4 linked regions of the Alligator mississippiensis genome follow. The main gene of each other region encodes a partner of the protein of the gene in region 2 in a complex. Links are inferred from orthologs where the notes say so. Each region holds a gene or a part of one and is shown on either strand. Other genes may lie near its edges. The genes, in order: THOC5, THOC2, THOC6 and THOC3.

Region 1 (7,757 bases), on a different chromosome or scaffold from region 2:
GAGGAAACGGGGCTGGGATGAGAATGTGTATTACACAGGTGGGCCTTGTTCTTTTGCGTAGCTGGTGGTGGGCGCCAAGTAGCCACAAGTTTTAACTCCCACATCCCTGGGCCAAAGCCAGTTTCCAGCTAGGATCAGAAAGCAATTCTGTGGTTCAGAATTTATACCTTCCTATGAAGTGTTAAGCATTAACTGCTCTTTGCCAGAGATCGGGTACTCAGTTGATGTGACAGCCACTACCACCTCTGTAATCAGCACTGTTCTTCATCTCCTGGCAGAGACTGGGACCAGAGTGAATGTGTCGCATATAAATGATTTTTCAGTGCCTGCTAGTGGGACAGACTGGAATAGCTCTGAGCTCACTAGTTACTTGTGGGTAGTTGGTAGAAAATGCCCTGTGCCCAGGGCTGTCATGTACATTGATAGTTGCTTTTTGTGATTTTTTTTTTCAGTGCCCCTTGTTCGGAACATGGAGTCTCGAATCATGATTCCCCTGAAGATCTCTCCCCTCCAGTGACCCTCCACCCTGCCCCTGCGTGTTCTCCCTCCAGCACTGGATTCAAATGGACAAGAGCACATGGCCTGTTGGGATCTCTCTGCACTTCTCCTAAAGGAGCAGGCTTCTCTCTTCCTCTTGGCACTACCTATCCCCTTAGTCCATACACCTGCCTGGTCTTGGGGCTTGGTTGCATTACAAACTCTGCTGGTAGATAGCAGCCACCAGAGCATGTTCTCACCCATGCAGCTTCATGTGACTACATATAGCTCCATGGCAGCAGCTGTGCCAGCAGGACACCCAGAGTACCCTGGGCAGGATCAGTTGTTAACAGGGCTGCAGCAGATGACAAAGTGCAGACAACTCTACACCCACTTCCTGACAACTTTCCTGTGGTAGCAGTTGCTTGCCTTTGGTTGCAGAGCTAATGACTCCTGCCATCACAGGAGAGCTAGGAGTGTGGATGCACTCATGGCTCTTCCAGGAGAGCTGCAATGTAGTCCAGGCCTTGGGCTGCTTCTGTCTGCTGGGAGCTGTGGGTCATGCTAGCACATGGCTGCACGTTGCTCCCCAGCTCTGGGTCCCCAGCTGTGAACAAATGAATGTTCTGGAGCCCAAATTCCCCTTTTGCAGATAGAAATGAGCATAGCTGATCTATGCCACCTGCAGAAGGCATGATATGGATACCCAGCTGCTCTCTGGGTGAAGAGACTGGGTTCAGTCCTTCTGCCCAACCCTCCAGCAAGTCATTCCACCCCACCCCCTTCCACCACAGAGAGGGAATAATCTCTTCCTTGCCTCTGGGAGTGATCCTCTATCATGCTTCCTCTTTGTGTCTGCCACCATGACTTTCCACCCTTGGCTAGCCTGCTGCAGGCAAGAAGCCTGCCCCCGAGCAAGATACCCTGGCATTCTGCTCTGGTGGAAGCATGGGCAAGCTTGTATGGGGAGAAGGAATCTCTCCTGTCTAATGATGAGGCCATCCGTCCCCTTGAGCTATCTCCTTCATCTGCAGAGCAGGTGTAGGTTGAAAAGATTCTCTGGAAATGATGCTGTATTCTACATCCAACCCTAATTCTCAGTGGCTCCTAGACTTAATAGACGGACCTTAACAGTACATATATTTCTATCCTGCTACTCAGCCTCAGCCTGATTCTAACTAAGAAGGGAGGGGGTGCTGGAATACTTAATTTTCCCCCTTCTGCCTTCCTAAGGTGCTGAACACACCTTTTTATGAGCTCAAGGGGAGCTGGGAGTGCTAGACACCCACCAGAATCAAGCCTTTAATTCAGGAATTAAAATGAAGCAGAGTTCCTCTTCCCCTCATATCATCCATGCAGCTGATCAGAGATTAGCTAACATTAGCACCTGCCTCCCAGAACTGCATAAGCTCAGTAGAAATGAAAGATACAAGCTGGGCTGTGTCAGCAGAACTGACTCTGGCTGGAAAAGACAAAGCACGAACCTGAAAGGAACATGTGGTGTTGATAGCCAGTAGTAACAATAATTGTGTAACTTGGACTAATGGTATTCAACCACAAAGCAGTAAAAAATTCATTTGCATTGGAAATGAAAGCCCCTGAATGCCTGCCTGCCAGTGCTGCATCTTCCACTGGACTGCAGTGGAGGTGAATTTGAGGGTCTGTATCTCAGTGCAATCACTGGTACTGGGAGCAAATGCCCTTGCTCCCTGGGCATTTATATGTCTATGTGAGTGAGCAAGGGGAGTTGGAACACATGGAGAGGCAGCTGTCATTCAAGAGGCGCCTATCAGACAGATGTCAGTTCCTCTAGCACGTTTATGGTAATTGCAACTAATGGGCAAGTTACGGGCATTTATTTTGTGTCAAGCATTTTCCTGGAAGGAACTTGTACAAGTCTAATTGCAAATGTAATTAAATATTTAATATGCTAACATCAGTCTTGCATTTGGAAGGAGTCTCATGTACCTCTGTTGGGTGGGGCCTTTCAGGCCTTTATCAGTTTGCTCTACAGGTTCAGTTATGGCAGCTGGTAGAATCCAGACTTGGCTTGTCTTTATTACCAAGAAGTAACAAGATCAGCTCAAACAACTTCTTAGGCCCCCAGCATGACTGCCGTCTCTACAAGAGTGTGTTACACGTTACAGGTAACCTTGCAGGCTGGTTACTGATATAAGAGACAGAAACAGGTCTACAGCTGACCTTTTATTTGCTTTTACTTCAAAATACAAAAACAAACATTTAACCCAAAGTCTATTTGGTCACCTGTGACTCTAGAGGTGGGAGGGCAGCACACAGATTGGCAGCAGGTCTTGAATGTGCTGAGTTCTCTATATTTCCCTCCAGCCTAGACCCCCATATTTACTTACCTGGCAGGGGAAATACCATGAGCACTAAGGTGGCAGGGGACAGTACCCTGACCAAGCAGCTGCCTTAGAAATGGCTTTGTGTAGTGGAGGGTGAACCCTTGTCTGCTTGCAGATGGGACTCCCTACGAGAGCCTCATAGTTAGCTTCCCACTGGCCAGCTTCCAGTGGGAGGATCTCGGCTACACGACAACTTTATGGAAATGGGAAACTCCACCCTAGCTTGCTCCTACAGCCATATGGCTGAGGGCAAACTAAACTTGGGGGCATCCGAACCCCAAGTCCGGGCTTGGGCCTGCATGTAGGACGCCTACCAAAGGATTTGGAAGTTTCTGAAGCCCCAGGCTGGAGTGGAGGATATTTGCCAGTAGCAGGGCCACATACAGTTTCTGGATGATTCAAAAGGATTGAACGTGATCTGGCTAATTTGACCTCAGACACGAATAATTTTCCTTTAAAAAAAAAAGTGTGTGTGTGTGTGTAGATGGCTGGATCTAATATTGCAAAAAATGACCTTTGATTTGGTTTTAAATCTGTTTTACTGAAACTTTGGAACTGAACTGAACCAGATCTCTTGTGGACTTGGAAGTGCCAACTGGGATTCATATCCTTGGGAAAGTAAAAGATGGGGTTTCTTACCTCTTTCCTTCCCCATTATGGAATGGTGTTCAACACTATTCCGTTTTTACTTCAGCTTATAGTCTCCTCTGACAATGCTGTTTTGTTTTTACAAATTATCTAAGCACCTTAACAAAAATATATCTATTATAGCAAAATAGCATCTAATACATTTGGTTACATCAATCACTACTACTACTATTTTAAGATAAAGCTATGATACTATATGTGGATTATTTAATTCATGGTCTTCCCTTATAACCTCTCTTTTCAGGCCTCGTGCTTTGTTTCATTGATGTTGATGGTTTCCTTTTACTTTGCTGACCAAGCTAGTTGTCATAGCTGAAAAGGTTTACGTTAGTCCCACAGAAAACAGGGTTTGGGGACTTCTGCTTAGCCCCAGTTCTGCAGCTTGGCCTAAGCCCCTGAAAACTGGCAACCAGACCCTACTACCTGTGTGGGCTTCAGGTGAAGGCCCCAGTCCAGGTACCAGCTCCCCCAGAGCCAACGCTGGACAGGCATGAGACCAGGTGTGCTCAACACCCAGTACATGGAGCAGTGCTGTGTGCTCATGAGACAACACTAGCTTTTAGTGACGGGCCATTACTGGAGGAGGCGTGATTGCTTAGGGACAGGAAGAGGTAAGGCCCAGGGAGACCGAGCTGGGCAGCAGGAATTTCAAAGGATAAGACTTGTTGCAAGAGGGGCAGGGCAATGGGCAGCCCTGGGGAATGGCTGCTGGTGTTGCCCTTCTCCATACCCCGCCAGGCACAGGCCAGCAGTGTCAAGCATGAGAAGATGGTGGCCCAGCTGGCAGCAGTGTTGCCCCAGATGCCTCAATCCGACTTCTGAGCAAAGATGCCAGCAGTTGGCAAGGTGGGGGGAGGAGGCCTTGCCCAGTAGGGTCATCTGCCAGGTTGAGAGTGGGAAGGGCCCGCGTCCTGCCCCTTCCTTCACTCCCGGACGTGCTGAGGGGAGCAAAGCCTCATAGTTGCAGTGGACGGAGGCATTAGGCCCATTTCACAGACAGGCAAGCTGAGGCCCTGGGGGCGGAGGCGAAGCCAGGGCGAACCCAGCAGCCCCACACCCTTTGGGGGGCACGGGGGTGACGGGAGGCAGCTCACCGGGCCTCCCCCAGCGCTGCGCGGGGCTGCGGGAGCTCGCGGCCGTGTGCCCGTGCCCGGCGCTAGGACCCCGCGCTGAAGGGGCCTGGCCCAGACGCGGGCGATCGCGGCGCGGGCGGTGACGCTCCCCAGGGGAGACCGCGTCGGCGCAGGGTAGTAGGGGGCGCTCCCTCCTTCAACTGCCGGCTGCCCGGGCGGCCGCTCTAGCGTGTGCCTCGTCTGCTCCTGCACAGCCACTTCCGGTTGGAGCGGTGGCCGGGACGCAGGTGAGCGCGCTGCGGCGCCGCCCCTCCCCCCTTCCCCGCCGGCCGTGGAGCCGCACTCCGCCGGGGCCCGGTGCGTGGGGGCGGGGCTCGGTGAGCGGCGGCCGCTGACGCTTCCTCCCGCCCGCAGATGTCGTCGGACTCGAGTAAGAAGCGGAAGCCCAAGGTGATCCGCACGGACGGCGCCGCGCCCGACGGCAAGCGCAGCAAGGCGGACGCCGAGCAGGTACTGCGGGGCGGGGCCTCTCCGCCCCCAGCACGTCGGATCCGGGCCAGCCTGCGGCCCCTGCGCCGGGACGAGCAGCCTGAGCTTGCTTGGGTGCGGGGTGACCGGCCCTTTGCCGCGGGGCAGGGGCTGCCGCACTGCAGCTGGTGCTGGGAGCGGCCTTGGCGGGGCAGTAGCAGGCATCTGTCGGTTTTGAAAAGCAGTGGGGTTGCGCGGAGCGGGGCACCAGCTTGCTGGACGTGGCGGGGCCCTGCTCTGGAGTGACTGCCGCTTGCACCACGTACAGAGTTCAGTTCGTATCAAACCCTCCTGGATGCGGTGCTGGGTCTTCCTGATGCACTTGCCATCTTCAGCTTGTCAGCCCTTCCCCTCCAAAGCCTTTGTTTTGTGCTGGGCAGACTGTGCCTTTTACCTGCCAAAGGAGACTGGACACACTCCTTGCTGGGGTGGTTTGAGCCCAGCAGTCTTTCCTGCCCAGAGCGGGACCCGATGATCTCACGAGGTCCCTTCCAGCCCTAAACTTCTGTGAATCTATGTCCAGGCAGTTCAGTCCTCAGCAGTCTTCTCACAGTTGTTTGACTCTGTTTGTTGCTTTCATATCTCTCTGGCAAGCATCTCTGAACCTTTTACAAATGTTTTATTTGTTGCTCTTCTCTTCCCTTCCCTCCCCTCTTCCTTAGTTGTTTGATTGCCTAACTAGGACCTGTGCAGATCAGATGCTAATTTTAATGGGATTATGGGTGAGGCATGGATTTGCCAGGCTTGGATCTCCCGTGGAGTTTGCAGCACTAGCGGTTGGGTCACTGGTGCATAAAGCATTTGGATTCTGGAGTGGATGGAGTGAGGCTAAACATAAGGCCCACAATGTGATTTCTGCAGGACTCTTTCTGAGAAGGGAAGGGAATCCAGTTGAAACCTATTTTCTTGCTGTTTTACAGGATGTTAAGTACTATAGTGAAGAGACAGAGGTGGATCTAAGAGACCCTGGCAAAGACTATGAACTCTACAAGCAAACTTGCGAGGAGCTTCAGAGGCTCATGGCAGAAATCCAGGATCTGAAGAGTAAAGGCAGCAAAGACAGTGTAAGGAGAGACCTCTGGAGTACTGTGCTGGTGAAATGCTTGCTCACAACAAAACACTAAAATGGAAAGATTGAATAATTCATTGTAGTTAGGACAGAAAGTTTTAACCATATGAATCCAGCACTGTTTACTGCTCTCTGATGCTTTGAATTCCTGTGTAAAACAAATAGGTGCATTTTGCTCTGGTTCCTCCTAGACAGGGAATATCCCAGGTGGCTGACTGCTTCTGTTTGTGGCAATGCGGCTAGGAAGGCGGTATGAAGGCTGCAGGCCCCTTGTGCTCCCCTCATGTGGTAACTACCCATGTTGTGCCTGTTCTGATTCTTGTCCTAAATATAGCAACAGCTGTTAACCTGACAACAGAAAGGAGGTGCAAAAGTCACTGAGTGATATCTGTGATTGTAGGCAGTTGCAATGGAGTCACTTGTCCCAGATTTTATTCCATAGGATATTTATACCTTATTAAGTAGTGGACACATGACCAGGTCTCCCAGGTTAGTAGGTATGATTACGCTGTCAGTCACTAAGTGGCTCAGGTCAAATTAGAGCAAATGCTACCTTGCAATGAAATTGAGAACTGGAGAAGTGTGTGTAGTTTCCTACAGACACACACAGCTCTTGTAACTTGCATCAGTTACCCCTTGGAAAGTGAGGAATAACTTTTCCACACAGTAGTGTGACTTACGATGGTGTAAGGTTGTGTGTCTACATCTGGCCTTCAGGGAATCTTAGACCAACCTGTTTTATTGAACTAGAGTGTAAAACTGTCTCTGAATTAGGGATTCAATTACTGAAAGCTCTCATTAAAGCAGCACCCAGGGCCCTCTAGTGGGACTGAGTTCTGTCTTACATGCATGGAGAATTGTGGACTAAGGAATGGACACAATGAGGAGGACCTCTATTTATTTCTAACACTTGAACATTGAGACTGGGAAGGAGAGGGGGCCTGGCAGAAGCTCAGGGGATTGTTACCAGTGTTTTTCCTGTAAGATTCATCTCTGTAGCTCCCTGCTTGCTTTAGGTTCTTCTAACTAGCACAATAACCAACTAGCTCTGCAGTGGCTAGTTACTTACAAGAGCTGCTAGCAAGGAACTTTGTCCACATCAGACTCCCCGCTCTTGCCCTTCAGGCTGCTGAGATTGAGGAGCGGCGGATCCAGAGCTGTGTGCATTTCATGACTCTGAAGAAACTCAACCGTTTGGCTCACATCCGGCTGAAGAAGGGGAGAGATCAAACCCATGAGGTATGCTGAAGGCCACAGGCTGTGAAAGAAATGCAGAAGTGGATGGTGAAATGCTCAAGGAATATGGGTAATCCCTGCCTCTCAGGGATTGTGTGTGTGGGTGGATGAGTGGGTGATGGTGGTCATCATTGCCCAGTATCTTGCCAAAAGCTGGACTAGATTTAGTGGTCCTTGAGTTAGGCATACAAGGGAATTCCATTTCAGTGAATCGGGTGCTCTCATAACTACAGTGAATTGCAGAGAAACCGCACCTTCTTCATATCCTGAATGCAATTAAAGTCAAGAGGCTGCTATCTTGACAGCCTGATGTACAATAGTTCTGAGAAAATAGTAAAACCTGGCTCTTACAGGGCTTTT
Region 2 (7,936 bases):
ACGCTAAATAGCGACAATCCACAGATACGTCCAGAATTGTTATCATCAGTTACCTGATGTCAGTGCTAAAGTTAATATTACTTTTCTTTAAAATATACAAAATTTATAGGTGATTATATAGTTCAAAACAGTTTACAGGTGCTGCATTTTGGAGCGTATTAGAACGCTCCATTGTCACATTTGGCATTTTTGCTTATCAAAACAAGTTAAAAACAAAAGTTTTTGTAGCTGTAGAAGCTAAGATAATGTTATAAGAGCCATCAACATATAAGTTCTAGATCTAGAGCATAACAGATCCCTACCCTTTTATTCAATGTTATATATGAGAAAGCACCAACCCCCACTCAGTTTCAAAGAATAACTAACTGACTACTACCTCCTTGCTAGAAGTTATGGAAAGCAAGCAAAGAGACAGAATCAACAAGAAGTGGTCACAGTCAAAACACTAAGCAAGACGAACTGTTCACCCTGCTTCAGTTTAGCAATTAAGGTCACCAATTTACAGCATATGAAGTAACATATTTAGATAACTAATAACTTCACTAACATACCATTTCAAACTGATTTTGTCAGACTTCATATGCTACCCTACAGACAAGCAATTAAAATTGTCCTGTCTACCCTCAGCTTTTCTTCCTGTTGACCAACTCTTGGTCATCTTGTTCATTTCTGGTTTTTCGTTAAGTAAAGGCTGATATTTTGCATTTCTTGTGAGAGGTCTCATCATGTTTAAATACAGAATTCCAAACTGCTTGGAAACTAAAAGCCTCCTCTTAAAAAAATAAACTAAAGATCTGTCACTTAACTTTACCTGCTAGAATTGTAAGGTTAATCCTTGTTATACCTCTCTCTTTTTCCTACCGTTACACAATTTAATTTAATTCAGTCAGTGGTTCCCGAATGTTTTGAACCATCATATTGACCCTCAAAATTTCACATGCCATCCACCCTTTACGAGCAAACTTTTAACTGAAAAGAGAGCAAAAGCAGTGCAGTGCAATTTAGGAGCCTTAAATTTAAGCTGCAAGCTCTTTTAAAGCTGAAATCATGTCTTCAAATAGAAATAAAATAGAACTGCATTTGGAAAACTGATTGAGTTACTAATCCTTCATCTCTAGTATTATTTTATTTTGGAGTGTCAACACATTCAATAATTAATTTTGTTAGCAGAGGTGGTAAATCAGTGTTTCAAAATGATAGCAGTTTCTGAAATCACTTGGTAAAGACTTTAAACAAAACCAGACTTTTTCATTGTTCACTGAATCTTCACAAATATTTGATTGTCTTTTTTCACTTTAAAAAAAGTTTTACACACGTTTAAAACACTGGATGAAACTATGTTGTACAACCTCATTACCCAAGCACACAGATAATCAGAGATCACTTTCAGTTTAAGGGGTCTTTTTTAAAGGAGTCCTTAAACACAGTTGCCAAACAAAATTTAAACACAGTTTAAACGCTGTCCCAGTTAAACTGGTATATCATCGTGAATGGACCAAAATCTTGTATACATGTTATCTGCAAGTACCAAGGGTTAGGTTAGAGTACATTTTAAAAAGTTAAGACAAACTAGTGTGTGTTAAACAAATGGCCTACAATTTGAGCTCTTCAGTAGGCAAAGGCCGGGCTAACCTGATCTCTTCAACAGCAACTGCTGAAAATTCAACTGATGCACAATCTTAAAATAATTATAATGAAGATATGATCACGTCAAGTCAGTTAGCTCAATATCGAGTCATATGAAACAGCTCCTAACTCAAATGGATGACTTAAAGCAGCAGTTCCCAATGTGTGGTACATAGCAGACAACCCGTCAGCGGTACATGTTAACAGATGTACTATAATTACTTCATATTTTAACATGCATTTTTTATATATGGTACGCATTAAGAGATGTACTATAATTACTTCATATTTTAACATGCATTTTTTATATATGGTACGCATTAAGAGATGTACTATAATTACTTCATATTTACTTCATATTATAACATGCGTTTTTATCTATATGGTACGCATTAAGAGATGTACTATAATTATATCATAATATGTATTTTATAGAAATACGACGAAACTTTGCTTGTGGTACTTAAGGTCGAACTGAAAAATGTGCTGGGTGGTACTTAAGGTTGTATTGTTTTAAATCGGTGGTGTGCTGTCAGAGTTTGGGAACAGCAGATTTAAAGTGTAAGTATATCTACATCTACGCTTTTTATGCAACCAGGTGGGCTATACCCATTCGTAAGCATCTCTCTATCCACTTTTCTCCTCCACCGACAGCAGAACATAAGCGATCTGTAACAAAAGGGCCGCAAACCTATCTACCCCAGGACATAATCCGGCTCAATCTGATTATGAATTCAGCTGTCAAGACGTAATCCAAAACAGGGGAAGCTAAAAAGTAATTTGAACTTTAGCGTCGCTTTAGACTCCGAGTGCTGCCAGAGACCTACGATTTCTCCCTCGTCTAGTTTTTTGGTCTCCCCAAAACAAAAAAAGTTTGGACGGGACCAGGACTCGCACAATGCAGGGACCTGACGACCAGGCTACTCCTCCCCCCTCCAAAATGGAGGCAGGGCGAGCCAGCCGCGCCCCCTTCCCCTCACCTGGGGGGCAGGCGGGGGCGGGCAGAGAAGCAAGCCGGGGGCGAGGGGGAAGGGGGGCAAGGGGCTTCCTAAAAAGAGCCGCGCGCGTTTGGCCGCGAGCGTCTGGTCCGGGTGGTGACACCAGGGGGCTGCTCAGAAACACAATGAAACGCAGCTGCGATATCCGGGCGCCCCCGCCCCGCGCAGCTCCGCTGGCCTCGGCACAAGGGCAGAGGCCGCTGCCGGGGAGGGGCGGAGAGGAGCCGGGGAGCCCGGCCGCGCAGGGGAGGCAGCGGCCCGCACTCACAACTCGCTCTTGCCCGCTTTCTCCCAGTTCTTTATCCAGTCGGCAGGGAGCGCCGCCGCCGCCGCCGCCATCTTCCCCGTGTGGCGCCGAGAGCCCGGATGGGCAGCGACGGCCGGGGTCAGAGGCCGGCCGCGGGGCACGCCGGGAAGCGCGCGCGGGGCACGCCGGGAGCCGCCGCTCCCGCCTCCCCGCCAATGCCGCGGGTTCGAGCCCCGCGCTCGTGCCGTGGTGTTCCCGCCTCCGAAGTGCGGCCGAGATGCGAGTGACGGCGGCGTCTTTTCAGTTGGATGCTATGATCTTTCCAGCGGGGGGAGGGGGGATTTTTCTTCAAGAGGAAAAATAGAGGCGTCCGGTTTCTCTTGACGAGAAAAGCAGAGTTTGTACAGGCGTCCGGTTTCGGATCAACGGACTAGCTTGACGGCCGCCCGGGCTTGTCGTGACCCGTGGTGGCCTAGGCTCGCGGGCTGCTTGACCAGGATGGCGGCTCTGGCCAGAGGCCCCCTGGGGACGGGGGGGCGTTTTCTTGTCCCTGGTCAGCTCCAGCCGGTTTCCCCGGGCCGCGTCCGCCGGCTCCTCGGGGTCGCTTGCAAGGTGGCCGGCGTGCGCCTTCCCACTGCCCAGCCCTTCGGGGCACCCCTTCTGAGCCATCGACCTCCTTCCCCTCCCTCTTTTGTCTGTTCATCCCATTCATTCAATTAACACTACCCAATAGCCCCCCTACTAATGGGGAAGGTTAATTAGCCCATGGGCGACTGGTGCCACCTTAGTTAGGGGGCAAGTGCCCCCCCAGGGACCAGTCAGCAATGGGGGGGAGTCCTCCCACGGCCAATCTCACCAATGGGGGGGTCCCCCACGGCCGATCACACTGACCAGGAAGCGGCCACAGCGCTCCCACTCCCGAGCTGGCGCCCGCAGGGGGAGCACCAACGCTCCCGCCTGCCCCGCTTGCCTGTCACCTACACCGAGAGTGCAGCCGGTCAGGGGATGCACCCCTACACATCGCCACCGGATTAACCGCTGCTGTGTGGGCCCGTGTTCCCAATCGAATGACTTGCGGCAACCCCCACTTCACACTTTCGCTTAGTGCTATTTCACTATAATGTTCATTTTAAATTGATACCTGATTTCACTTAGCACTCAGTGAGTTTCGTTATAATGCTCACGGTCACCATCTCGGGTCATTAAAAACAATTGTGGTCGTGGGTCATCAAATACGTTCGGTTTCGCTTAACGCTTGGTTTTTCGGGAACCAATAAACAGCGCTAAGCGGAGGTTGCCTGTAATGACTGTTTTGCAAATTATAAAGACTCATGGTGGAAGTCCTGTTGCAAACGTAGCGCCCTGAAGGACAAGACAAGATCTGAGCATTAAACAATAAACTTTTAGCTTTGTTTTTTTGAGGTTTGATTTTTAAATCTCAGTCACTCCCAGGGAAAACACATGGAAGTGGTAAATATTAATCAGCAATGTTGCCTGTGCTTCTCTTTATTGCACTAGGAGCTCTTTGCATTCCTTACATGTGCTGTCACTGCTGATTTTAGATATGACTTGCCAAAAATAGGATTGGTCATGTACGCCATTGATTTGTGCCTGAAAAATTAGAAATCAATTTGGTGAACAGAAAAAACGTCACTTTCAGATTTTTTCAGCTGCATTTTACAAAAGTGTCCTGAAGTTGACAGTAATGCTGAACATTAGGAAATTCTTGTTTATGCAAAACTTGTCAATTATTTATTACTAGTGGATGTGCCAGTTTTTTAAAAAGCTGAACTAAATGCATACATTTCAAGCTTATTTTTATGTGGCCACTTTCATGATTTCTTACACAATTCTTTTTCTAATGCAGTATAACCTATGTACTTTCACTGAAATCCTTGCACAATCATGGAACGATGACCTGACTGGAATAACAGAGACTTGGTGGAAGCGCGCATGACTGGAGCACTGTCACGAATGGGTACAAACCGTTCAGGAAGGACAGGCAGGGGAGAAGAGGAGGAGGAGTTGCGTTTTGTATAAAAGAACTGTATGATTTCTCAGAGCTCCGGTATGAAACTGAAGTTAGGCCTGTTGAAAGTCTCTGGGTTAGGGACAGAAGGAAGAGCAACAAGGATGATGTCACGTTGGGTATCTGCTATAGATCACCTGACAAGGAGGATGAAATGCATGAGACTTGCTTCAAACAGCTAGCGGAAGTTTCCCAATCACAGACCCTGGTTCTTATGGGGGACTTCAATTACTCCGACACCTGCTGGGAGTGCGTACAGCAGTGCGCAGGCAATTCAGGAAGTTTTTGGAGAGTGTTGAGGACAATATCCAGGTGCAAGTGCAGAAGAGGCCAACTAGGGGCTATGCTCTTCTTGACCTACTGCTCACAAACACAGAAAAATTGGTGAGGGATGTAGAAGTAAATGTCAATTTGGGCAGCAGCAACCACGAGATGACTGAGTTGAGGATCCTGAGGAAAGGAAGGAAGGAGATTAGCAGTGTATGGACCCTGGACTTCAAAAAAGCAGACTTTGACTCACTTCAGGAACTAATGGGCAGGATCCCTGGGAGGCCAGTCTGATGGGGAAAGGAGTCCAAGAGAGTTGGTTGTACTTTAAAGAAACCTGAAGGAACCCAATGCGCAGGAAGGACTAGCAAGCATGGCAAAAGAACAGCTTGGCTTAGCAGGGAACTCTTCAGTGAGCTAAAACACAAAAAGAAAGCTTACAAGGAGTGGGAACTTGGACAAACAACTAGGGAGGAGTATAAGAGTATTGCTTGGGTATGCAAGGATGAAAACAGGAAGGCCAACGTGCAATTGGAGTTGCAGCTAGCAAGGGACGTGAAGGGTAACAAGAAGGGTTTCTACAAGTATGTCAGCAACAAGAGGAAGATCAGGGAAACTGTGGGTCCCTTAATGACTGAGGCAGATGATGTGGAAAAGGCTGAAGTACTTAATATCTTTTTTACCTCTGTCTTTATAGACAAGATCAGCTCCCAGACTGCTGCACCTGGTAACAAAGTTTGAGGAGAAGGTGAGCACCCAACAGTGGTGAAAGAACAAGTTAGGGACTAATCAGAAAAGCTGGACTTGTACAAGACCATGGGGCTGGACGCGATGCACACAAGGGTGCCGAGGGAGCTGGTTGATACGATTGTAGAGCCACTGGCCATCATCTTAGAAAACTCATGATGATTGGGAGAGGTCCCAGACAATTAAAAGAAGGCAAATATAGTACCCATCTTTAAGAAAGGGCAGAAGGAGAATCTGGGGAACTACAGACCAGTCAGCCTCACCTCAGTCCATGGGCGCCTGGTGCCTTCTGAGTTGGGGGGGCACTTACCACCCCCAGTGGACAGTCAGCAATCGGGGGGGAGGGGTCCCTTGCTGCCAAACGGGGGAGGGTTTCTCCTGTGGCCAGAACAAGTGAAAAGGGCAAACCGCACTTTAAAAATTGGCTCTAAGAAAAGTAGTAAGCCAACAAGACAAAGATTGACAAAGATTAGGGCTTTGCAACAAAAACAACAGTTGCCCATGAAATCACTCCCTACTAAGCCATGACTGGCAGAAAAAAATGCAGATGCCCAAGCTTTAAAGGTAAAATGTAATCAGATGGACAGACAATTTGGGCCACTTGAAAACCTGTCAAATGGAAAGTTGGTGCCCTGGTCATGTACCAGGCTTACTGGGGGAAAAAACCATGTATTGTGCTCCATCAGGGCTGGACCTGCCATAATTGTAAATAAGGCTAGTCCTACTGTATATCAAATTAAAATACAGTCAAAGAGAAAGGAAATCAAATTGAAATGGGTCCACACATCACAATCAAAGGCTTGAAAACGGGGCAAAACCCTAATAATTATAACCAGATGTTAAGTGAGGCATCTGCCCTGGCAGTTTCTTAATTTTGTTTTGCAGGCTAAAATGCATTTCCCATGTAACATTACACAAAAGGAAAAATCCATGGCCTTCCAACAATTGAGTTAGTAAAATGCTTGTTATACTGTGCAAAGGGGAAAAAAACAAAAAAACCCCTGGGCAAGATGTGTTAGTAAGTACAGGTGCTTCTTTTCCTATAAGTAATGAGACCTCCCCTTTCCAATTCTGGAAGGCAAATATAGTATTAAAGGATTCAATGAGAAGGAAACCAAAATGCCTTTACCAAACCAAGACATTTATTTTTACAGGGAAGCAAAAAATAATTAATCTACATGTAATTCTTCAGGGGCAACAGTGTGCAGCCTTTAAAATAAATCAGGTTTTGGAGTTGCCTTGGGACTGAACAGGGGATGTTAAAAAATGTTAGCCAGCCAGCACCCAAAGGGGTAGGCTAAAAATAAGCTGAAATGTGGGAACAGTTGCCCGATCAATACTAAACTGCAGTTATACCCTATGTAGATGATGTTTTAATTCATGGACCCATGCAAGAATTTATGAAGTCATCTGTGCACTATTATAAATTATTCAAGATACAGGATTTAAAGTTAACAGACAAAAAACCTCAACTAGTACAGCAGGGGGTAATATATTCAGGAATCAATGGCACGGTCGAACTCCAGGTGCCTAGTGGGTAGAAGTGATTGAAAAATTGCCAGCTCCCACATTCATTAAGGGCTGCTGGTACCCTAGCTATAAGCTATCTAGCCTATCATTGGATGTTTGGGATAAAAAATGGCAAAAAGTAAAATTATTAAATGGCTAGCTTTAATTGAAGGCTACAATAACTTCCCTATCAAAGGGGGGAGCTCTTTGTTTTATGTTTCTTTATAGGAAGGCTGATGAACTGTGAGGCCTCGAAACCAACCCTGAGGAGGGAATCGGGAAGCAGGGCTTAATGAGCGCAGCCGCAAACCGATCAATTACCGGCAGGGAGCGGCAGCGTGAGAAAAGAAGAAGAGAAAACCAGGGAAAGTCTCAGTAACATGAGGGAGGCTGAGCACAGGCAATACTGACCAGCCCCAGCCAAACCTGGAAGGGTAACCAAAAAAGAGTTGCCCGGGGTTTTACGCTGGCAACAGTGCAAAGAGACTGTAGCTGCACTAGCTAATGAGTTAA
Region 3 (7,646 bases), on a different chromosome or scaffold from region 2:
GTAGCAAGACACTGTGGGATATTCCAGTGATCAGCCATGATGGGGACCCAAGGCATTGTGGAATATTCCCGCAGTCAGCCATGCCTGGGTCCTAGGACGTTATGGGGTACCTTGCCCAACCTTGTTAGGGTATATCACTGTAGGCAGCCATGCTTGCAAGCAAAGCATTCTGGGATACCCTGCTTTGGCCACCACAGCTAAACCCAAGGCACTATGGGATACCCTCGCTCCAAAGGTCTCCCCTGCCCTCTCACCATCCAATCGGAGTCTGTCGCCAGGCAACGGATCCACTTCCCATACTGGGGCCGGCTGCACTCCTGGGGGTGGGGGAAGAGGCAGAGAAGGCCAGGTCAGAGCCTGGACACCTGGGTTCCCCAGCAGGGGTGCTGGCAGCCCGGATGTCTGGGTTCTCACCTCATACTTGTGCACCTCGATGGCTTGTACCTGCCCCCCGGTGCGGAGATCTGCGGGGTGGTGGGGAGTGGGTGTCACGAGCCCTGCAGGGTCTCAGCAAAGGCGGGGCAGGGGTGGGGAAAGGGGCGGGACTTACCCCAGTGACGGACAGACCCGTCCTCGCTGCCCGAGAGGCACTCGTGGAACTGGTCCCTCAGTGCCAGGCAGTGGATGTAGTCGGTGTGGCCCCGCAGGGCATGCTGGGAAGGTGGGGGAGAGCGGGTGAGCGGGACGGGATCTAGGGATGGATGGATAGGTGGGTCTAGGGGTGGATGGATGAGTCTAGTTACAGATGGATTGGTGGAGAAATGTAATGACAGATAGATGAAGAAACAGATGGGAGAGCCTATGGATGGATGGATGGGGAGATCTAGCGACAGATAAATGTAGAGGCGAACGTATACGGGGAGAGATGAAGAACGGACAAACAGACAAGATTAGCGATGGGTGGAAAGAAGGAAAGAGGGATGAAGAAGTCTGGTGATATGCGGATGGGTGGACAGATGGAGAGGGTCTAGTGAGGGATGGAAGGACAGACGGAGAAATCCAGCGATGAACGCACGAAGAAATGGATGGAAAAGTCTAGTGGTGAGCGGATGGAGACAGGAATGAATAGAGAGATCTAGTGACAGACTGGATGGACGAACAGCGAACAGATGGAGGAGGCCAGTGATGGGCGGATGGATGAAGCCGGGTGGCAAGCAAGTAGATGGAATGGGGAGGGTGTAGTGCGGGATGGATGAGTCTGGAGATGCAGGACTCTAGTGACAGACGAAAGGATGGATGGACGGAGAAGTATGGTGATATGAACAAAGAAGTCCAACAGTAGACACGCGCACAGAAAGAGGGAAAGGCCTAGCGATGGACGGAGGTCTGTGGGGATGGACGGAGGGATGAACGGATGGCCGAGAGCCCTGCCCCCACTCACGGTGAAGACCCCTGTCTCCAGGTCCATGGCGTGCACGGTGCAGTCGCCCCCAGCCAGCAGAAGGCTGTTATCCTGTTGGAGAAGAGGAGACACAGGCAGGAGGGGGCGGGGCTTGGAGGCTAGCCCCTCCCCCTGGCTATCCCACAATGCCCAGGGCCACACTCACCTTGAGGTTCAACTGCAGGCTGTTGATTTCAGGCACCTCCAGGCTACTCCTGGAAGCAAATGTGGGGAAAGAAGGGGTGTGGCCACATGGGGAGGCCATGCCCTCTTGCTCTCTTCCCACTGGCCAATGTGAAGCCGCTCCCACTTGGGGTGGGGCTTACCTATAAGGGGGCCGGCGGCTCCATGCTTCCTTGCAGCCCTGGGGGGACACGTGGAGGGGGATGAAGCGCAGGGGACCCGGGCATCAGGGGCGGGGCTAGGGGCGGGGCTTACCTTCTTAACGATCTCCGCCCAGTTCCAGGCCTTGAGTTCCCCGTCGCTGGCGCTGAGGAGCTGCCGGTCCGTGGAGGTCAGCGCGTAGACGGGACCATCGTGGGCTGCGGGGCGGGAGGGGCAGGCCCAGGGCATTGTGGGAAGGCCCAGGTTGGCACAAGCAGCCCCGGGGCATTGTGGGGAGGAGCCGGGTTGGCGTGAGCAGCCCCGGGGCATTGTGGGGAGCCGCTCCCCTCACACCCACCTGTGAAACACACCACCGGCTTCTTGCTCTCCTCTTTGGCCTCCGCGCTCAGCGCCGCCGACAGGCTGGGGGGGCACAGGGCAGTTAGGGGAGCTGGGGGGCGTGCCCGCGGGGCGGGCTGGGGGCAGGTTGGGGTACCTGAAGATGCCGATCTCCCCGTAGCTGTTGCCGGCTGCCAGGTACTTCCCGCAGGGCGAGACGCTCTGGGAGAAGACGCTCATGTGGAGCAGCTCCAAGGCCCGCTGGACGTCCATCTGGGGGGCAGCACGGCATGATGGGAAGGCGGGGGAGGGAGGAGGGGAGCTAGGCATGCTGGGAGATGCCCGGGCTGGCCAGGTGCGGAGCAAGGGAGGCTGGGAAAGCCTCAGGTTGGCATGGGGGGGGCACAAGGCATGCTGGGAGACCCCAGGGTTGGCAGGACAGGGAGCAAAGCATGCTGGGAGGGTGCATGCTGGGTTCACACCTCCCAGGGCTTGGCAGGACCCGCGCGGTGCATGCTGGGAGCCGCCCCGGGCGCCCCCACGCTCTTTGTCGCTCACCTCCTGGGGCGCCATAAGCGTGCCGCCGCGTCGCGCCTCTATGACGTTATCCGCGCGACGCCGGCGCCAGATTGGGTCCCCTCCCCCTTCGCCTACTCCCAGCAGGCCGCGCGACCCTGACGTCAGAAGGAAGGGAAGAAGGGGGGGACCCTGGAGGCGCAGCGTGGGGAACGGAACCCGGTAAGGCCCCACCTCACCCCTCCCGGCTTCAGGCCCCGACAGCACGAAATAAGACCCGCGAGTGCCCAGTGCGCATGCGCCCCGCCTCCCCGCCACTTCCCGCGAGCCCAACTGTCATCCCCCCCCGCGAGCAGGCTCACGGTCCCGGGGCTCTGCGCATGAGCCCGGCGGGAGTGGTTCCCCCTCCTTTTCCACCACCTGCCTTCGCCTCTGCGCACGCGCAGAACGGAACTTCACCTGCTGCCCGACTGTTCTGCGCATGCTCGCTCTGTGCTCTGCGGTAGGCCCTGCCCCTTGTCACTTGGCCACACCCCTTTTGTCCTCAGCACCCCTGCACTTCATTCTCTCTCCAGCCAGAGGATCATGGGAGGGCTTAGGCTTGGTCTGAACTGCCCCAGGGCATCATGGGAAGCTTCCAGTTGGTGTGGCTCAGCCCCGGGGGTTCATGGGAGCGCCTGGGCTTGGCCTGAGTGGCCCCAGGGCATCATGGGAAGTCAGGAGTTGGCATGATTCAGCTCCAGAGGCGCCCCAACCACAATGCATGATGGGAGTTCCTTGGCCTGACTCTCTTTTCCCTCCTCCAATCAGGTAATGCCCCCCCGATGGACCCCCCGGCCCTGCCCCAACCCCGCTGCTGGAGCCAGGAAGTCCCCGCCCGCATGCCCTGGGCGGGGCGGGCCCCAGTGGTGGTGAGCTTCTCCGCCGCGGCACTGCCCCGCCGACCCACGCCCCGCCCTGCTGCCCTGGCCTGCAAGCGGCGCCTCGAGAAGCAGGAGCCGTGAGTATGGGGGGGAGCAAGGCACTGTGGGAAGGCGGGAGCGAAGCATGCTGGGAGCCTTCACCTGCCCTCCCGCCTTTGTCACCACAGGGAGCCAACCCGGAAGCACTTCCTGTCGGAGGACAAGATGGCCGCTCGCTTCAACACCCTCAGCCTGGACCACGACCACGCCTACGGCAGCAACGGCTTCCCGTCCCGCTGGCCCCGCCCCCTGCCGCGTGGGTGAGAGGCCCCCCAGGTGTTGCCCCAGACTCAGCTGCATCACAGGGCGGGGGGAAGGGGGCACGGGGCAGGACAGAGATGCCCCTTTGTTCCGCTCGGCTGTCACACCCCAGGCACAGCCGCATCCCATATACGTAGGGAGAAGGGAGATCTCCATTCACCTGGGCTGTTAGTCTCCAGACTCAGCTGCATGTCATGGGGGGAGGGGGGGGCAGGGAAAGAGTTCTCTGTTCCATTTGGCCGCTTCACGCCAGACTCAACTGCACCTCATTTACATAGGGTGAGGGAAGGAAGATCTTTATTCGTTCCCCTGGGCCATGCCACCCCAGACTCAGCCACATCCTATACAAAAAGGGGAGGGGGTGGTAGATTCCTATCTGTCCACTTGGCTGTTACACCCCAGACTGAGTTGCATCCCATTTCCATTGGGTGAGGGGAGATCTCTGTTTGTTCCCCTGGGCCATTACACCCCAGACTTATTTGCATCCTAAAGAGGAAGAGGAGGGGAAGCTCGATCCCCATTCGTTCCACTTGGCTGTCACACCCCAGCTGCAGCTGCATCTCACGTAGTGGGGGGAGAGGGGTTAGGAAAAGAGTTCTCTAGTTGTTCCTCGTGGCGGTTATGCCCGACTCAGCCTATAGCTAGAGTGAGGGCAGATCTCTGTTTGTTCTCCTGGGCTGTTACACCCCAGACTCAGCTGCATCCTGTAGAGGAAGAGGGGGAGCTAGATCCCCATTCATTCCACTTGGCCATCACGCCCCAGACTCAGCTGCATCTCGCATACCGGGGCTGGGAGAAGAGGTCTCTGTTCATTACGCTTGGCCATGACACACCAGACTCAGCCGCATCTCCCCCCCCACTCCAGGCCCCAGGATGCCACCCTGGAGGAGGAAGAGGAGACTGTGATCCTAGACGGGGAGTTCCCCATGGCCCTGTGAGTACCTACCTCCAGCTGGAGGGTTTAATTACCCCTCTCCCCCCTTACTGCCCCAGAACCTCCTAATCTGCTGCCCTGCTCCCCCCCCCCCACAGGACCACAGAGGCGGTGCTATGGAGCCCCCCCAGCAGCCAGGACCCCCGCGGCATCTGGGCCCTGCTCCAGGCCGGGGCTTTGACCCCCAAAGCTACAGCGCTGTGAGCTTCCTCCAGACAGTGCTGTGGAGGTGGGGGGGTATGTACAGCATCGGGCATGGCATGGGGGAAATTATGTTAGCCAATCGGAGGCCTTGGGGGTGGGGGGTGGGGAGGAGAAATGGGCGCAAATTGGGAATAAAGATGGTTTTAATTGAATTGAGGGAAACGGAGGCACAGAGCATGTACACGGGAGGGAACCCAGGCCCCACTCCCCTCCCAGGGAACCCAGGCGTCCGGCCCAGGAGCAGAGGGAGGGGCTTGTAGGTGAGACATAGGCCAAAGCCAAGTATAGAGTGAGCCTTGAGTGACCTAGAACCCATGGTAGAAACACCTAGAACATCATAGTGAGCCACCAAGAGAGAGATGCGACCCAGAGGCTTACGGGAGGGAGAGTGTGGTAGGCCAAACCCAGGCCTAGCGTACAGGCACTGAAGCCAAAGCCAGGCCTAGAGTGGGCATTGAGTGACCTAGAACCCATGGTGGACCTAGAACATTGGTATGGGAAAGAGACCCAGAGGCACTGGCAGGCCAAAGCCAGGCCTAGAGTGAGGGCAGTGAGCCCACGGGTTAGGCCGAAGTGAACCTTCAGCGCCCCAGCTCCCGGCTCCTATCGGCTCCCTGGCCTGTCAGCTGCGACGGAAGAAGGACAGGAAGTGGCCGCCATGGGGGGCGCTGTTGCCGCGGCGCACAGGGGGCGGGGCCCCGGCCTCCTGCTGCCACTGGGCCTGGAGCTGCCGGTGAATCACAAACTGCATGTCGTCCTGGGGGGGAGGGGCCACAGTGGGTGGGGACCCAGGCATCCAAGCCCCCCCTTCCCCATGCCCCACCTAAGGGTGCCCCCCTCCTGCCTGGGGAGGTAGCCCAGGCCTCCGGGTGCCCCTGAGACCCCCAGGAAAGGCCCGCGGGACACGCACGATTTACCTGCCAGGCCTCCAGCTCCCGGGACAGCGCCCACTTCTGGTGGGCGGCAGCCAGGACCTGGCGGCTCAGGGCATCGCGCTCCCGCGTCACCCGCTCCAGCGTCTCCGCCAGCACCCCCTGCCTGTGGGGGAGGCGAAGAGGGTGGGGAACACAGGTGTCTGGGCTCCTAAATCCCCTAGTCCCCCCCCCCATTTCCCAGAGAACCCAGGCATCTGGCCTCCCAGCCCCCCCTGCTCGCACTCCCCACCCTAAAGAACCTGGGTGTCCAGGCTCCCAAACCCCCTAGTTCTCCTACGTGCACTGCAGAGAACCCACGTGTCCAGGCTCCCAGCCCCCCTGCTCCCACCACGGAAAACCCAGCTGTCTGGCTCCCAAACCACTAGTCCCACCCCAGAGAACCAGGTGTCTGTGGGGGGCGGGGCCAGACCTGTCGATGGCAGTGTTGCGTTGGGCCAGTGCCTGCCTCAGTGCCGCATCCCCGTCCCTCTCCTGCAGGAGGCGCCGCTGTGCCCCCAGCTCCTCCCGTACCGCCTGCAGCACCCCCTGCTGCACAGCCAGCTGGGACGGGAGGAGGTGGAGTCAGCCAGGGGCGGGGGTGGGGCCAGGGCCAGTCTTACCCTCCCCCTCCTGGCCCTGTTCCCCCCACCCAGATGTCCATGACACCGCCTACCTTCCCCACACCCCCCCCACCTCATCTTGGAGCCGCTCGATCTCCACTTCCTTCTCCTCCAGTGCATCCTGGGGCAGCGCCTCAGACCTGTCCCGTGCCGGAGCCTGTGGGGGTACAGCGAGGGGGCGGGGCTAGAACCTGGCGGCCTCGTGGGATTGGCCTGATGGAGGCCAAAACCCTCCCAACATTGGCTGAGCCAAAGGACAAGGTTGGCTGGGTGGGTTCTAGGTACATCAAGGCCAGGTGACTCTGGGTAGGTGGGTTCTAGGTCCCTCAAAGCCTAAAGGCCCAATGGTGGGAGTGTTCTAGGTCCCTTGAGGCTAAAGGACCCAGCGGTGGGTGGGTTCTAGGTCCCTCAAAGCTTAGAAAACTCAATCCTTGACGGGTTCTAGGCTCTTCAAGACTCAGAAACCCCAATTTGGGGGGGTTCTAGGTTCACCAAGGCCTAAAGGCCCAATGGCAAATGGGTTCCATCAACACCTAAAGAGCCAATGGTGAGAGGATGTTAGGTCTTTCCTGGCCAAAAACCCGATGGGCAGAAGGTTCTGGGTCGCACAAGGCTAAAAGACCCAATGGTGGTCAGGTTCTAGGTCCCAAACCCCACCCTTGGCCTTGTCCCTGCACCTTGGGATGCTCGGGGCCCTGGGTCCCCTCCAGCTCGGCCTTCAGGGAGACGCCATTATCGGCTGACTGGAACTGCAGCTCCTCGGAGACAGCCCGGATTCGGCGCCGGAGCCGTCGGTTTGCCCCACGCAGCTCCTCCGCCTCTGCCCTCAATGATTCAGCCTATGGGGAGGGTCAAGGTAGAGGGGGTGGGTTCTAGGTTCCTTCAGGGCACCAGACCCCAAGTAACCTGTATTCCACCCCAGAATGGGTGGGTTGTAGGTCAAGGCATAATGACTTTTTGATGGCTACCGAGACAAAAGGGAGTGGGTTCTAGGTTCTCCAGTCCCAACAGACATCAAGTCACCTGTGTTCAACCTCAGGACAGGTGGGTTCTAGGTTCCTGAAGGCTAATGGTTTCCCAGATAATCTCTGTTTAACCCCCATAAGGCATATGTTCTAGGTCCATGAAGGCTGATGCCCTTTGGCTGCTACCCAGATCAAGGGCATTGGGTTCTAAGTTTCACAACCACAG
Region 4 (7,988 bases), on a different chromosome or scaffold from region 2:
CCAGTCCCCAGCCCTGCCAATCCCCTCCCTCCTACCCCCAGTCTCCAAAGCCAGTGACTCTCAACCAGAGTGGCACAGCAATCTGGGGTGCCTTGAGATCTTTTTATGGGTGCCATGCCATGTTAGCACTGCTAGATACGCACACGCGATTCCCAAGATAAACCCAGAGATTTCAAAACAGCAACCAGTGTCAAAACCATTCTGCCCTGCTCTGGTCTTTGCACCAAAAGGATTGCTCTTCTGTTTTGTCTATGGTCAAAAAGCTCAGAGCGGGCATTTTCCAAGCAGGGCTTTAAATCTAACAAGGCTGAGAACCACTGCCCTAAGCCATGACAAGAGCCAGCCACCTCAGAGGGCCGAGGGAGCAAGAACACTCACCCGTCTCCACTTCCGCTATGTCAATGAAGTGATCCTCAGAGGCAGATGCCAGCATCTTCCCATCGTGGCTGAAGCTCAGTGTTCTCACGGGCCAGTCCAGCCTGCAGGGGAGGGGATGAGACGGGGGGTGAGGGCTCTCCCACCTCTGTACTGGGAGGGCAGAGAGCGGGCACAGGGCCTGGGCACCTACCTGGAAAAGCACCTCACACACACCAGCTCGTCCACATCCCACAGGCTGACGAGAGCGTCTGCGCTTCCTGTGGCAAAGTACTTCCCCATGGGGTCAAATTTGATGCAGATGCAGTTAGAAGGATGGGCATTGATGGACTGGATGGGCTTCAGCTCTGGGTAGCTGTGCACAGATAGGGAAGACACAGCTTAAGTGAGCAGGGTCCAGAGTCCAGGGGACGGGCCAGCAAGTGCTGCCTGCAGAGGGGCACCCTGGTCAGCACAGTGAGGCCACACAGGCTCGAGCAGCTGGGGGTCAATACCACCAGGAACCAGGCTCCCTCGTTCAGTGAGGATGCCACAGCCGCAGGGGAGGGAACCATGCAAGGACAGCGAGCCCGAGGGCTCCTGCTGAGGGGCACTAGAGGATCTACCTGTGACCGGGGAAGGTGGAAGCTGTGCCAGGGCCATACCTGAGGATGTTGATGCAGCCGTTGCCGTTGGTCAGGAAGAACATGTTGTTGTCATTGTTCCAAGAGATCTCGTTCACCTCAAACTTGAACTGCTCCTCAGCCTTGGAGCGGTGGGTCTTGGCGTCGATGAAGGTGACCACGTCGTCCTTGTTCCCCACCGCTATGGTCTGGCCGTCGGGGCTCCAGCAGATGTTGATGTTCTCCCCTGGAAGGGAGGAGAGTGCGGCAAGTCCAACCAGGAGCTAGGGCAGCGCAGGGGGCCTCACGCCTGCCCTACCAACTCCGAACTGCTCTCATGTGGCCGAAGCCAAGTTTACACTGCAAACCCACTACTGCTGCTTAGTGCTGCCTGGTAAGTGTGTCACGGGAACTAGATCCAACAGAACTCTGGCCTCAGAGCAAAGTGCCCACAATAAGTACTTCCGAGCGCTCAGCCAGCCCAGCCCGGCCCTCTCTGCACAGCCACGGGGATGCTGGCACGTTGCTTAGCGCTTCGTGATATTTGCAAGAAAAAAAATGCATACGCAACATTTTTCCAGGGTTTAGGCATACGCACGCGGATACCCTCTGTATATGCTTCAGCCATGGGAAAAAAGCTGCATCAGAAACATGAGCAGATGATAGAGACTCATCTCCCACAGCGTGGATCCCCGGTGCCTACAGCCACGCGAGGGCAGCAACAATGCTAAATAGTCTGCCGTTTGACTAGCGCCCATGCAGCTCAACCCGGCCCAGCCCCATGGAAGACCAGCACCCGGCGCAGATAAACACGAGGGGAGGGGAGGAGAGGAGAGACGGCCTGGAGCACTGATTGCGTTTGGCCGCCCTCCGGCTCAGGCTGGAGCAGCGTCCTGCAGAGCTTTCTGCTTCACGCTGGGCCCCGCAGAGGCGTGCTCCGACCGCGCCCCACCTTTGGTGTTCACCGTGGCGATGCACTTGGTGGTGCGGACGTCCCAGATACGGATGGTCTTGTCCCCCGACGCAGTGACAAAGAGGTCCGGGTTGCTGGGGTGCCAGCACAGCTGATCCACGCTGTCCCCATGGCCGCGGTAATTGTTCTCCTTCACCTAGAGGGAGGTGACCACGCCGGGCATCAGCCAGGCCCGCGCCTCCAGGTCAGCCACGCTCCTTCACCGTGGCGTGAGGCTGGCGCTTGGCCACGTGCAACGACTGCCAACGAACGTCTCAAACACGAACCAGCAGCGTCCAGCCAAGACACCCCAGCCCGTTAGAGACCCTCAGAAATCGCTGACCACGGAGGGATGCTTAAAAAGGACCATCTCCCCCATCCCTGCACCAGGATCCGCCCCGCCCCCGCCCCAGCACCCCCGTACCCAACCGCACCGCTCACCCCAACATCCGCATCACGCATTGCATCGCACCCCCCGCCCCGCCCTTGCACCCCGCACCAGCCGGTCCTTCTCCAGCACGAAGACGCTGGCCGTCTTGTCGAAGGAGCCGGACGCGAGGCGGCGGCCGCAGCAGCTCCAGGCCACCGAGTGCACCTTGGCGCCGTGCGCCGGGAACTCGCGGCTGCGCGTGTTGGCGCGGAACAGCTCCTGCATCGCCAGCACGTACGGGGACAGCGCCATGGCGGCCGCCACCGCTTCCGGGTCACCCGCACCGCTTCCGGGGCGCCGCCCACCTGCCCGCTTCCGGGTCGCCCACTACCCACTTCCAAGGGAAATGGCGGGAGTCGTGCGGCGACTTCCGGTTCCGCCCCGCACATGGCTCCCAGCTCGAGGACGGGACGCCCGGCAGAGCCCAAGGAAATAAAAGCTCCTTCCCCGCGATGCCCGTGCCCCGAGAAGGGCGGGTGTGCCCGGAAGCTTGCCAAGAACAACTTTTCCAACCATTTAATTGCACTCATAAAAGATCTCACACCTACCCAAAGACCCTCGTCTGCCTCCTTGCAAGCGTCCGACCCGGGGAGCCGCGCAGGCTGCACGGGGGAAGTGTCCGGATCCCCCCGCCGGACCTGGGGGCGCTGGGGGAGGCTGCGCTGCAGCGGGTGCCCTGGATGTCTATGGGGATTAGGTGCAGGGACCCCCCACCCTGCCTGCCGCGCACCCCAGGGCCCCCGGCCACTGGAGGAAGGAGCAGCAGCGTTGCCAGGCCTTAAATACAGAAGCTCAAAATTATCCTATTTGCTGAAAAACTACCCTCACTGAGCAAACAGGTGGACAAGCATGTAAATAAATCTAGTTTACTTCCCACTGCTCATAGAGGTCTCCAGGAGCCAGTGCGAACTGGGTCAAAGTTGAAGCATTTCTTTATTTCGAGGCAAGGGGTCCTGAGAAAGGGCTGGCAGCAAACCCAAAGGTCGGTTAAGACCCCCCGCGAGCGGCTTGGGTTTCGCACGTGCCACGTCAACGACCTGTCCCAAAAATGACCCCACATTTTGAGCACGTTCATTATTACTGATCGCAGGTCCACACGGGGTGAAGATACGAGCGTTATTGTAGGCCGGGCCACGCCGAGCGGCACGAGGCCCCTTCCCCACTGCGAGCGGGGGCCCACGAGCGGCCTGGCCCCGAGCCGAGCTGTTCCTGTGCGAGGCGGTTACAGCCGCTTTCCTCTGCCTGCAGCTGCTGCAGGGCCCGCGAGGAAGGGGCTGTGGTTAGTGCTGGGGGGCGCGGCGCTGGCGGCGGAGGGGGGGCGCAGCCCCGCGCGGGGCCTGCACCACCAACCAGCCAGCTCGGTGGGGCTGCGCGCAGCCGCCGGCACCGCTCCGATGGCTCCCGGGCAGCCCAGGAGGTCAGTAGAGGAGATCCACGGAGGGCCCGGGCCAGGGTCCTGCTGCCGCAGCTCCTGCGCTCTCCCTCCCGCGAGCCCGCCGCTGCTTCAGGCCGCACGAGCGGGGCGGCGCCGCAGCCCGCTCCCACCGCCCGGCACCAGCCTCGCTTCAAGGGGCTCTTCCACAGGGCCCGCTGAGACCCCCGCCCCAAACACCCCCCTCCCCCCACAAACACCCTCAAACTCCCCTTTTCCCCCCAAACACCCTCCTCCCCCCGCCAAACTCCCCCCAAACTCCCCGTTTGCCCCCAAACACCCCCTTTCCCCCCAACTCCCTTCCAAACTCCTTTACCCCAAACACCCCCGAAACTCCCCCTTCCCCCCAAACACCCCTCAAATTTCCCTTTCCTTCCCAAATACTCTCTTTTCCCACCCCCCGGCGGTGCGGCGATGCCGGGGGCGGGGGCTGTGCCGGGGGGGCGGTGCCCGGCGGAGGACGCGCTCGGCGCTCGACTGCGCGGCCTGGGCGCGGGCGCGGGGCGTGCGGGGATGGCGGAAGGCCCCGTCCTGCTCAGCGACTCGGACTCGGAGGGCGGCCGCGCCCCGCTGCGCCGCAGCAAGCGGCTCTGGGCCCGGCGGCGGCGGCTGCGGCGCCCGCGCCCCTCGGTGAGTCCCGGTCCGGGCACGGCGGCGGCGGCCGCGGTGGCCTCTCAGCCGCGCCCCAGGAAGTGTGCCAGTCCTAAAGATGGCGGCGCTTCCGACGGGGGCCGCGAGGGGCCAGGCCCCGCGTAGTGCGCGGCTGCGGCGCCCCCTGGCGGCAGCGCTGCCCGTCGGCACGTGCGTGCGCGCTGCCCGGCAGGTGCGAGGCTCGGGGGCGGGGCGCGGGCGCTGGTGCCGGTGCCGCCCCTGCGGGGCACGACCGGGCTGGGGCCGGGGGCGCTGGGGACGGCCGCACCACGCCGTGCTGCAGGGACGGGGACAGGGCGCGGCCGCGGAAGGCGGTTGGCGCCTCGGTTCTGAAGCCACTTTCAAACGTCGGGGATTCCAGCGGGCGGCGAGGCCGCGACCCCTCAGCACAGCCGGCTCCGGCGCCGCGCCGAGGCAGGTGGCAGCAGCGCGGACGGGCGGGTTGGACAGAGCCTGGGCACGAGCCGGCGGGAGGACCCTGCGGGGGCGCGGCGTGCGGCCCCCCGCCCCGACTGACCCCGTTCCCTCCCCAGGAGATCATCGACCTGACGGGCGAGGACGCGTGCGGCGGGGCCGCAGCGTGCGGCGGAAGTGTTGTCATCGACCTGACCGGGGAAGACGAGGAGCCGCCCAGCCCAGCGCGCGCCCCCGTGCAGACGCCACCTGCCGGGATGGAGACCGAGGCCCTGCCCGGCTTCTCCACCGCCGCCAAGGATGAAGCGAAGACAGCTGCCTGCTCCACGGACTCGGACTGCAGCCCCACCACCTTCAACAGCGACCTGGGCTCCCTGGCCAGCCCCCTGCTCGAGTCCAACCGCTTCTCCCTCTCCCCCTCCAGCAGCGACAGCTGGGGGGCATCCGTGGACCCCGGCTCCCCGCCCCCCCGCTCCCTCCCCGCTACCACCTCAAAGAGCCCCTCCAGGAAGCGGCCGCGGCTGGAAGCGAGCCCGCCCGCGCTGGCAGCCGTGAAGCAGGAGCCCGCGGCGCCCCCCGCCCCGCGCCTGGCCGACCCCAGCTGCCTGCACAAGCTGCGGTACTTCCGGAGGATGCCCGTGCACCACCTCCTGCGCGTGGCCAGGGCCGAGCGCTGCCAGGAGGTAATGGGGGGGGGGGGGTGTCCAGGATCCGGGTTCTCTCCATCCCCGGCTGCCCTTATCCCCATTCCCACCCCGCTCCCTGCCCCACACCAAGGGCTCGCTGTCCCGGCAGAGGACGTGGCCCATCCCGAGCCGGAAGCTGGACCTGGTGCAGACCACGATGGAGGAGAGCTTCCCTGAGGGCACGCTGCAGTTCCTGACTGACTTCGTGACGCCCCAGCACTACCCGCCCTGCAAGATCACGGCCCACCTGGTCCAGGAGATCCTGCTGGGCCCGCACCGCTGGGGGATCCTCAAGGATGCCTACACGCTGCTCATGAAGATCCAGACGTATGTGACATTGCTGCCCTCGGCTCCCGGCTGGTCCAGGAGCCCCCGGCACTTGCCGCTCCCAGGGAAGGGAGGTGTCCTTAGCAGGGGCCCCCAGGCCATTGGCAATAGGAGCCAGCAGCAAGGGGGCTCCAATGGCCAGGAGTCCCGTCCAGCAACCACGTGTGTAGGCAGAGCCTAGGTATACGTCCGGCACCAGGGTCCGGGATGGGGCCGTCCGGGCTCCCCGAAAGGGGCTGCCGTTGGGGGAAGAGACGCTGCAGCTGCCTCGAGCCTGTGCTGCAGCCCTGTTCGGGGAAGAGTATTTCCAAGGCTCTGCTGCGTCAGGAGCTGGCAGCATCCATGCCCTCCCACAGCCAGGCCATCTGCACAGCCCCAGGGAAGCAGAGAGGGGGCAGGCGCAGAGGTAGCTCTGTGCTCCCCCACGCAGCTCGGGGCCGTCACGGACTCACCCTCTGCTTTAGGCTCCATCCGGCCAGCACCACGACGGGCATGGGCTGGGACTGGCGGCTACTCAGACACATCATGGAAGACGAGGTAGGGCCCAGCATCCCTTCCCTCCAGGGCTGGGCTCTTGCTGGGGAGGGGAAGCAGCTGGCCGGCGGGAGGACAGGCAGAGCGTGGCTGCGTCCTGCATCCACGGGGCGGGGCGGGGCAGGGCAGGGCGGCGGGGTGCAGCCACGCTGGTGCCCTGGGCAGGCCCCCAATCCCACTGTCCCATCCCCCTCAGGAGAAGCCTCCCGGGCGCCTGCTGTTCCTGCAGTACGTGGTGCAGACACTGGAGGACGATGTCCAGCTGGGCCTGCGGCTGCAGCGCCCCTCCTTGACCATCGCCAAGCAGGTGCTGTCCTGCGACCAGAGCTTCGGCAACATCAAGTAAGGAGCCCCCACGCACTGGGCTGGGTGCTGCAAGCATAGGCCGGCACCTCCTGCGGGCCGAGAGCGAGAGCTTGGGGTGCAGGGATCCCTACACAGGAGTTCGGAGTGGGGGGGAGAAATCAACCACAACCCAGCTGGAAGACATGCCTTGCAGGCCAGCCAGAGCAGGTTATCCAAGCAGCTGCTTGGCAGGGCACTGCTGGGCATGGGGGAACCCACACAGCGCTGGACCCCCAGCTCACAGGAGCAGCCCATGTGGCCACCTACAAATCGCTCTGAGCCGTGCCCCCGCAGGGAGGTGATCGGGTGGCTGGTGGCTGCCGTCACCGGCGTCGGATTCTGCAGACCCCTGGAGCAGCAGAACGCAGCGCCTCCCGCCTCGGGTGCCTCCGGGCTCCAGCACAGCAGCCGCTCACCCACGCCGAGCCCCACGGAGCCGAGGGAGGATGTCCCGCCGGAGTTCCTGGCTGAGAAGTAAGATGGGGCAGGCTGGGCTCTTTGGGGTGGGGGTGTTACGCCGGTGGGAGCTTGGAGGCATCTCAGGCTGCCCCAGGGGCTGTTATCTTTACGGACACTGCAGCCCCCGCCCCCAGACAGAAGGGGCCCTGGTGCAGCGGGGAGCCTGCCCAGCCCCAGAGGGGAACCCAGTGTGGCTGGGGGTCAGTTGTGGCTGGCAGCCCAGGGCAGGGAGGGCACAAGCTCATCTGAGCCTCCCCTCCAAGCAGGAAGGGTCTCCCCCAGCCCTCAGGCCCTGGTTGTACCTCCAGCGGTGCCAGGCACGGCAGCGGCTTCTCACAGGACAGAGCCGAGGCTCCTGGATGCTGGGCCGTGCCCCCCGCAGCCAATGCAGGTCAGGGTAGTGTCGGCTTCACCCCCAGGCTCTAGGGGAGGGGGGCACAGGACCCCACAGCTGCCCCTCCCTGCCCGCCTGACTGACATCCCTGGTGTAGGGTGGTGCTACTGCTGCAGCGGCTGCTGTCCATCGCGGTGGAGGTGGACCGCTCACCCAACTGCAGCGCCCGCAAGATCGCTGACGCCATCTTCCCCTCTGTGCTGAACATCCCACTGCGGAGCCAGAGGTGAGCGCTGCCCGGCCCCCACACCACTCCCAGCGAGGCTGGCCCAGCGACGGGTGGGGCAGGGGAAGGGGCCAGTGGCACCGGGGGGGTGATGCTGACCTGCACAACAGCAGAGGGATAAGCATGCCCAGGTTCAGAGCTGCCTGCAGCCTCCTCTTCCC

What was found.
Region 1: THOC2 (region 2) and THOC5 share a complex: the UniProt entries of both Homo sapiens proteins name them as parts of the transcription/export (TREX) complex. The link is inferred for Alligator mississippiensis from reciprocal best matches to the Homo sapiens genes THOC2 and THOC5.
Region 3: THOC2 (region 2) and THOC6 share a complex: the UniProt entries of both Homo sapiens proteins name them as parts of the transcription/export (TREX) complex. The link is inferred for Alligator mississippiensis from reciprocal best matches to the Homo sapiens genes THOC2 and THOC6.
Region 4: the proteins of THOC2 (region 2) and THOC3 are in contact, whole or in part, in a cryo-EM structure (PDB 7ZNL), measured with the Homo sapiens proteins. The link is inferred for Alligator mississippiensis from reciprocal best matches to the Homo sapiens genes THOC2 and THOC3. Residues at the interface, in NP_001075019.1 of Homo sapiens: Tyr395, Arg396, Pro401, Lys402, Gly403, Ala404, Lys405, Gly406, Ser407, Pro446, Ile447, Ala450, Arg454, Cys500, Asn501, Ala502, Cys503, Met504, Glu506, Pro563, Arg566, Gln567, Lys570, His573, Tyr603, Leu604, Thr605; in NP_115737.1 of Homo sapiens: Asp193, Met196, Ile208, Val217, Gln218, Asn221, Ala222, Pro224, Ser225, Ala244, Asp245, Ala246, Leu247, Ser249, Trp251, Asp252, Asp254, Glu255, Leu256, Val257, Cys258, Val259, Cys261, Ser263, Leu265, Asp266, Pro268.

Annotation. Positions count from the first base shown.
Region 1 is NC_081833.1:26,651,350-26,659,106, reverse strand, and holds the start of THOC5 (THO complex subunit 5 homolog), read left to right. Parts: upstream 1-4,757; 5' UTR 4,758-4,851; intron 4,852-4,978; coding exon 4,979-5,074; intron 5,075-6,012; coding exon 6,013-6,156; intron 6,157-7,286; coding exon 7,287-7,400; intron 7,401-7,757. Other genes in the region: NIPSNAP1 (protein NipSnap homolog 1), read left to right, coding at 1-38, 453-517. UniProt on the Homo sapiens protein: Component of the THO subcomplex of the TREX complex which is thought to couple mRNA transcription, processing and nuclear export, and which specifically associates with spliced mRNA and not with unspliced pre-mRNA.
Region 2 is NC_081831.1:71,266,936-71,274,871, reverse strand, and holds the start of THOC2 (THO complex subunit 2), read right to left. Parts: upstream 3,001-7,936; 5' UTR 2,964-3,000; coding exon 2,893-2,963; intron 1-2,892. UniProt on the Homo sapiens protein: Component of the THO subcomplex of the TREX complex which is thought to couple mRNA transcription, processing and nuclear export, and which specifically associates with spliced mRNA and not with unspliced pre-mRNA.
Region 3 is NC_081830.1:644,667-652,312, forward strand, and holds the start of THOC6 (THO complex subunit 6 homolog), read right to left. Parts: upstream 3,001-7,646; 5' UTR 2,923-3,000; intron 2,719-2,922; 5' UTR 2,618-2,718; coding exon 2,603-2,617; intron 2,318-2,602; coding exon 2,202-2,317; intron 2,129-2,201; coding exon 2,064-2,128; intron 1,924-2,063; coding exon 1,820-1,923; intron 1,746-1,819; coding exon 1,708-1,745; intron 1,597-1,707; coding exon 1,548-1,596; intron 1,454-1,547; coding exon 1,382-1,453; intron 654-1,381; coding exon 551-653; intron 465-550; coding exon 415-464; intron 318-414; coding exon 255-317; intron 1-254. Other genes in the region: HCFC1R1 (host cell factor C1 regulator 1), read left to right, coding at 3,385-3,560, 3,651-3,782, 4,649-4,717, 4,816-4,921; BICDL2 (BICD family-like cargo adapter 2), read right to left, coding at 5,544-5,678, 5,839-5,959, 6,266-6,396, 6,529-6,612, 7,133-7,294. UniProt on the Homo sapiens protein: Component of the THO subcomplex of the TREX complex which is thought to couple mRNA transcription, processing and nuclear export, and which specifically associates with spliced mRNA and not with unspliced pre-mRNA.
Region 4 is NC_081832.1:79,133,505-79,141,492, forward strand, and holds the start of THOC3 (THO complex subunit 3), read right to left. Parts: upstream 3,001-7,988; 5' UTR 2,612-3,000; coding exon 2,429-2,611; intron 2,087-2,428; coding exon 1,930-2,086; intron 1,225-1,929; coding exon 1,020-1,224; intron 731-1,019; coding exon 569-730; intron 480-568; coding exon 379-479; intron 1-378. Other genes in the region: SIMC1 (SUMO-interacting motif-containing protein 1), read left to right, coding at 4,206-4,421, 4,976-5,539, 5,652-5,869, 6,334-6,406, 6,600-6,745, 7,043-7,222, 7,699-7,827. UniProt on the Homo sapiens protein: Component of the THO subcomplex of the TREX complex which is thought to couple mRNA transcription, processing and nuclear export, and which specifically associates with spliced mRNA and not with unspliced pre-mRNA.